Arabidopsis thaliana: one gene and its partner. The protein of the gene in region 1 interacts with the protein of each later gene in a pairwise test. Each region holds a gene or a part of one and is shown on either strand. Other genes may lie near its edges.

Evidence for each region. Proteins that work in one complex are often made in the same cells at the same time.
Region 2: the proteins of AT2G31370 (region 1) and EMB3114 interact in a two-hybrid assay, tested with the Arabidopsis thaliana proteins (one large-scale study listed by BioGRID).

Annotation. Positions count from the first base shown.
Region 1 is NC_003071.7:13,376,900-13,380,658, forward strand, and holds the start of AT2G31370 (Basic-leucine zipper (bZIP) transcription factor family protein), read left to right. Parts: upstream 1-2,029; 5' UTR 2,030-2,401; intron 2,402-2,518; 5' UTR 2,519-2,548; coding exon 2,549-3,168; intron 3,169-3,370; coding exon 3,371-3,503; intron 3,504-3,637; coding exon 3,638-3,722; intron 3,723-3,759. UniProt on the Arabidopsis thaliana protein: Putative transcription factor with an activatory role.
Region 2 is NC_003071.7:15,115,007-15,118,765, reverse strand, and holds the start of EMB3114 (Mitochondrial transcription termination factor family protein), read right to left. Parts: upstream 1,752-3,759; 5' UTR 1,586-1,751; coding exon 584-1,585; 3' UTR 546-583; intron 454-545; coding exon of another isoform or gene 433-453; 3' UTR 1-432. Other genes in the region: LOG2 (Putative lysine decarboxylase family protein), read right to left, coding at 2,119-2,208, 2,313-2,456, 3,039-3,109, 3,234-3,333, 3,476-3,506. UniProt on the Arabidopsis thaliana protein: Transcription termination factor required for chloroplast gene expression and protein synthesis in chloroplasts. Necessary for chloroplast photosynthetic complexes assembly by modulating the accumulation of photosynthetic proteins. Essential for embryogenesis.

The DNA of each region.
Region 1 (3,759 bases):
AGCATTAAACCTAATGACCGATTCATACGTAATGCATTAATAAAGTTATGGTGGATATCAATTAACAAGAAGATGTTAACACTCAACAAAACATTTTATTACGATCTGAACTCTTAACCACATTAAAATTTTGGGTACTAGGATTTTGGAGCAGGTAAATATATGGTGTTGGGAGGGTAATCGTCATTATATTACCATATTTCTAAACCCAAGATTTTATGACGTTTAATTTTTTGGAAAAAAAATTGAGTACTACATTGCATTGGTCAAGAAAACATTAGAAAATCACTTCCGTGTTTTGAGAAGAATAGTATTTTTTCCGACTTGGTTCTGTTGTTTCAATGAGAATATAGGTTTGTGTTTGGTATTTTGAGTCCAACTAAAACTGGAAAAGAAGTCATAATGTTGTCACGTAGTTTTCTTTCCTGAAAACGGACTAAATACATAGTTGCTGAGTTTAGTATTCTTAAAACTAGTCGTGATTTGATTTGAAAATAATATTACATGTATCAGAACTTCTTCTACATTACAATATTGGAATTCTTAATATATATATATATATATATATATAACATATATTCTAAAACAAAAATGATCGTAACATGTGTGCAGAGATAAAAAATAGTTAAATGATGCTAATGGTCCCTGATCGCCATTTGAGTAGTAGCTTGTCAGAAGTCACTGACTACTAGTGATCAAATATACTCTCTCAATATAACATATTCCTCCCTAACTTATAAACTTTTCACATTCATCACAATGTAATGCATTACTTAACTACATTAGGTGGTTAAAACTCCTACTTAATCTCATCAAATGTTTCCGGACAAATCATATTTTAAGGAATATAATAGAAATACACTGAGACTTAACCATTTCAAAACTTTAGTATACATTACACACTATATACAGATATACTGTCTAACTGATAATGTTATTTTGCCCTGTATGATTACTAATCAGAGTTTACGTCTAAAACCGTCCAAAAGAATCCCTTAACTTAGCTAGGTAGCTTTAGCTTATGAAACTTTGACAGACTCAATCAATTCATCACACACGATAAATACAAAGAACTACCTCTATTAAAGACGAGTAATATCAAAGTACGAGGAAATGTGTGAAACCTGACCATTGAACCAAGTGACTTTAATGCTATCGCCAGATGAAATTGATTGCAAATGTATGATATGATAGGAATATAGGAGGACACCACTACAGATAATATTGATTTTTATAGGGACATCAGAAGTTAATATATCAATCACTTCAAAACGTTTTTCAGATTATTAATTGTGAAATCGACCACCGTAACATTCCTTTCCAACTAGGAAAAGGACAATGATGCTTCGCAGATACAACATGTGGTACCATCACCAATTATTATTATTTTTATAGGGAAAAATTATTTAATGGCACACAAAAAAAGAAGAGAAAATTATTTCATTTTTTGTTTAAATCTGTTCAAATAATATCTTTGTCCTAAACAGATAATATCTCATTTTTCATATTAATTATATATTTTCCACGTTATGAAAAAAGAAAAACTGATATTTATTTGTTTACATGATACATTTACAAACCAAAAATAAAATAAAATATACATCTTGCTTTGCTTCGATCATAACAAATCACAATCATAATTGATTTATCTGTTGCTATCATAAAAAGTCAATTAAAATAATTTAGAAAAATTAAACTTTAAGATAAAGTTTCAAATAATATAGGGGATATTATTAAACAGAGATATGTAATAAAAGAAGATAGACAGTAATGTTTTTTTTTTTTTTTTTCATCCGATAGACAATAATGTTTAATTAATATAAAATCATAAGATCACACATTGGATTTAATATTATACAAGTATTTTTGTGATCAGTAGACATTTAATACTATACTAATCCAACAAAAGAAAAAAAGATGTAGTAGGCCCATAAATTGGCTTAGGTTTAATGGGCTTTAGGCCCATAAATTGTTGTCTAAGAAAAGGCCTTGGCCTGATTGGTAACAAGTTGACATAAATTAATTCTTCAAAAATCTCTTCTGCAATCTCATCGTCACAGTCACGGAAATGGCGGAACACGCAAAACGACGCGTTTTAAGAGCATATTACCTACTCATCCATGATGATGATCTGTTGTAAGAATCGAATTCTCTCCTTCCCTCATCTCATCTCCTACCTAGATCTCTCTCTTCTCTTCCTCTCATTTCCTTCTCCCTTACTAAATTTCCTTCTCTAATCTCTACTTTGTCCAAAAGCATTTAACTTTAACCGGAAAAATCTTACATTTTTTTCCTCCTGGATCTCTCTCTCTATATCTGCAGATTCACACTACAGCTGATTTAGATCTATTTCGTAAGTGGGTCTTTCAAAGTCGTCTCCTTTGATCTACTTTGATTCAGGGTTAGGATTAAAAACTTCTCCTTTTTCTATAGTTGCTTCACTGTTTCTATTCCATGGAGAAAGTTGCTAGCTTTAATTTGCCAACTTACTATTCTTATGTGTAATAATCGTTTGCAGGGTCGTTGATTTGGTGATAAGTCAGTAGAAATGGATAAGGAGAAATCTCCAGCACCTCCTTGTGGAGGTCTTCCTCCTCCATCTCCATCAGGTCGATGCTCTGCATTCTCAGAAGCTGGTCCCATTGGTCATGGTTCAGATGCTAATCGAATGAGTCATGATATTAGCCGTATGCTTGATAACCCACCTAAGAAGATTGGACATCGGCGAGCTCATTCTGAAATACTTACTCTCCCTGATGATTTGAGCTTTGATAGTGATCTTGGTGTGGTTGGTAATGCTGCTGATGGAGCTTCTTTCTCTGATGAGACTGAAGAAGATTTGCTCTCTATGTATCTTGATATGGATAAGTTTAATTCTTCTGCTACATCTTCTGCCCAAGTTGGTGAGCCATCAGGAACTGCTTGGAAAAATGAGACAATGATGCAGACAGGCACAGGCTCAACTTCCAATCCTCAGAATACGGTTAATAGTCTTGGCGAAAGGCCAAGAATCAGGCATCAACATAGCCAATCTATGGATGGTTCAATGAATATCAATGAGATGCTTATGTCGGGAAATGAAGATGATTCTGCTATTGATGCTAAGAAGTCTATGTCTGCTACTAAACTTGCTGAGCTTGCTCTCATTGATCCTAAACGTGCTAAGAGGTAATTGGTTTTCGTTTTTCTTCTGTGATTCTCTGGTTTCTTAAATCCTGTTTATAGTGTGGATGGACACGGTGACTATTTGTGTGCTTTTGGTTTGAACCTTAATGCCACCAGTCATTTAGTTGCTTCAGCTGTTCCCACATAACTTCAGCTTTTTAATGAGTGGAGCAAGTGTATAATTTGTTTTTGTTTCATACAATAGGATATGGGCAAACAGGCAGTCCGCAGCACGATCAAAAGAAAGGAAGACGAGATACATATTTGAGCTTGAGAGAAAAGTACAGACTTTGCAAACAGAGGCTACAACTCTCTCAGCCCAGTTGACCCTCTTACAGGTTAGTTTTGACTCATTGTACGGTTGTTCTTTCTTCATGCTAAATGAAACTAAATCTAGCCTTACAACGTTTGTTCGTGCATTGTGATTTTTTATGGGTTGAAAACTTGTGCTCTTTTCTTCCTGTTTGTATAGAGAGACACAAATGGCTTGACTGTTGAAAACAATGAGCTGAAGCTGCGGTTACAAACAATGGAGCAGCAGGTTCACTTGCAGGATGGTGAGTCTCTCTTTTATCACAAACAATATCCCTCTGT
Region 2 (3,759 bases), 1.7 Mb from region 1:
AAAGTCGTTATCAAGTTGAAGCCCAATAAAAACGGATTTAAGGCCCAAAAAAAGAAGGAGAACGGAAACAGAGAATCCGATCATAGACCACTGGCATTTCACGAACCATCAAAGGGACTAAAAGCTCTAGAACCAATTCTCCCTGTTAAGACTTAAGACCAATAACTAAACCGTTACGCTAATCAGTTCACACATTCATCATCTTGCCTCCAATTGTAGAATCACAATTCTCTGCAAATCGCAACTCTACACGGTTTCTGGACTTACATACACTTGATTTCTCGTTCACTAACAATAACTAGACCGAAATACATCGGAATCGTGAATTGTAAATGAACATTCTTTCTCTTATCAAGATTTAACTCACCATCCCTGTGTGTGTCTCAAAATGTAGGCAGAGGCTGGTTTCTTCATTCATTGAGTTCTTCATCATCATTCATTACAAAAATGTACCTAAAAACAAAGCAAACCCCATCAATTCTCACCAATTCTCCAACTCCATTAAACAAAAAAACAACAACAAAAAGCAAGAAACTCTCACTCACTTGCTTCCATGTTCTCCTAGCACACAAAACTCTATAAATCAAGAATCTTTTTGTACAGTAACAAGGCGAGAGGTCTTCAATGGCGGAGAAGAATCACAACATACCTCCAATGTATCTCTAAAACCAGCTTCATTAGTCTTCAACATCACCGGCAATGGAAACCTCACACCTTTCGCAGCACAAGCTTCATGTCTCGGTTTAATCCGATTCTCCAAACTAAACGAGAAATACTGAGGAAACTCAAGAACCTCTCTAACATCTCTCCCCATCTCCACCATCAAATACTTCAACTTCGGCTCATAATTCTCAGCAATACTGTAATTAAACAGCTGCGGGAATCTCTTAAACATCGCGGTGGCGCTCCGCCGCGAGAATCCTAACTTCTCGAAGTAATCAATCCGTGGTACGAGTTTATTGTCAACGCTACAAGAGAGAAGATACGTATGTTTATGCGGATCTAAGATTCCGATTCTCTGGAGAAAGTAAAGCGTTGGTCTAAGCTGGTGATCGACGCTACAAGCGAGAAGACGAGGACGACGTCGTAAAGCTTGACGGAGGTCAAAGATAGAGTCAACGCCGACTTCACGGAGGAGGAAAGTGATGACTGGGATTGTGTGTGAGGTTAAAGGTGAAGTGAGAAGCTCTGGACACATTGAGACGAGGCGGCGAAAGTCTTGTAAAGTGAAGTTTATTGGTGGAGTGGTCATGTAATCGACGACTGATTCAACGGCGGAGAGAGCGGTGGAGAGGAGAGGTGGATGACGGTTGATTAGGGTTAGGAAATCGATTCCGAGTGAATCGAGGTAAATGAGTTTCTCGTGGATTGAGGATTCTAGGGTTTCGGTGGTTGTTGTTGTTGTTGTGGTGGAGGAGAGAGAGGGTATATCTGGGGATTTGAAGAATGATGAAGATGATGATGAAGTGTTTGGTTTGAAGGAAAGTGCGGGAAAATTGTTGAAGCGGAGGCGAGAAAGAGAGGGAAAATTGTGGTGAAGGGAAGGGAGAGAGGACGAGAGGAAAGAGAGAGCTTCTTGTTGCATTGTTCAAGAGACATCTCACATTACATATGATGATGAAGCTCTCTCTCTGTGAAGAAGGTAAGTGATGATGATGATGAAAGGATAAGACTTGGAACAGAGTTGTGATTTTTGGAGAAGGAGAAGGGGATTACCATATCTTGATTGATCCGGTTTAAATTGGGATTTAACCGGTTTATTTCAATTGAAAACTTGACAAAATTGTAAAATTGTCTTCTTCTTTTTTTTGTTTAACTTTCTTGCCAAGCCCATTGGGCCTCATATTCTTATTTTAAGAATGGAAGTCTCAATGCTTGGAAAATGATTGGTTTTTTCTTAGCTTATAATTAGTTGTCGATACTTTACGGACTTGGTTTTGTGTTATTTTTTTATCCATTATGTAATCATGTGGCTTGTAAGTAATTTGATTTTGGCAAGTTCCATTGTTATATAAGCTCAATACATGGTATACAAAAATCAAAAATTTGAAATGGCCAATAAAAAACGAGATTTTTAATAATAAAATAAAAGTAGACTAAGATACAAATGAACTATATCTAAAACGAGTCGCCTTCCAAAGTGAAAGCATCCGTGGTATTGTCCCACACCATTTTGGATACAAAATCGTCGTGTTTTGGAACATACTCCTGCGATTACAAATTAATTTAATTATCCTATTTTGGGATTCGTTCATTTAGTCTATAGTATTAAATAGAATAATCAAAAAGTAATGAAAGGCAAATAAAAAAACCTCAAGAAGTTGAAGTAATTGAGGAGCGTTTGGAGCCGAGACAATGATACGGCGAGCGGTGGAGGAGACGAAGCCTTCGTCCACTGCCTTATCTATAAACGTCAATAGTGAATCGTAGAATCCATCCACGTTCAATAGTCCCACCTGCATTTTTTAACTTCGCATTATGTTATATACTTAATTCATATTCTCAGGTTTCGCATTTTTTTGACCATGTATTATGTATACAAAGTCTTCGTGTGTGTATATTACATGTTTTAATCTAATCTTTTTTATATGCATTAATTAGTGTACGATATGATTTTAGAGTAGTTTTCACAACCTTAACTATGATTCTCTTTATTTTTTTGATCTTAGGTAGGAGTGTTTTTTTTTGGGACAAAATCTTAGGTAAGAGTTAAGACATTTTTTTGTTGTTGTTGTTGTCAAGAGGTAAGAGTTAAGACATTATTCCATGTGAATATAGACTTCAACCCATGCCACATGCCCACATATATAGCCAACAAAGAAATTTGCTTCTTCTTATTTGTGTAAGTTCATCAGGAAAATCTCTATTTCTCCATAAAATACATAGTATATGACAACATCTCTATTTTTTATTTTTTTTAATGGTTTGCCGAGATAACCGTATTTTTACTGACTCGAGTCTCAACGTATGTGTACTCATAAGTCATATCTAAACGATATTTTTTTTTTTGGGGTTCACCAACGAATTTAATTAATTACCGGTTTAGTGTGAATCCCAAGCTGAGACCAGGTGATGACTTCCAACAACTCTTCAAATGTCCCATATCCACCTATTTTGTTTGTCCAATAACACCAAACAAATTAATTTTATTAACCTTCATGATCATATATAGACATCTTTTTTATTCTTTACAAAATACATAGATTGAAAAAGAATAATAAAAACAAACAAACCAGGAAGTGCGATGAAGGCATCCGCTTGGCGACCCATTTCAGCCTTCCTTTGGTGCATAGTCGATACTGTTATAACTTCTCCTATTGATTCACCGGTTATCTAAACCCCACATTCATCATAATTAAAATGTTTCAATTCACATATATTTTACTGAATATATATTTGGACGATACAGAATAAACTATACATTTGTTAAGCTCTTCACACTGCTAGTTAGAATGTATGGTAGATTTGTAAATACCTCTCTTGGTGCTAGAGACTTCGGAATGATCCTGCGCATAATATCAACATCTAATGTAAATAATTATCACTTATAAATAGTATATGGAATCAATAATTTCGAGTCATCTTAATTTGTAATGGTCAAAGATTCTTATCCTTTCTTTCGAAACTAAAGTCTATGTTTAAGTAGAACTAAAGACAGCTGCCTTGTTCCCCTTAGGCCTTAGATTTTGGCAAAGAAACTAACAAATTGAAAAGCGAGTCCAGAGCATTGTTTCAAATATTGATTTTCCAAGAAATATT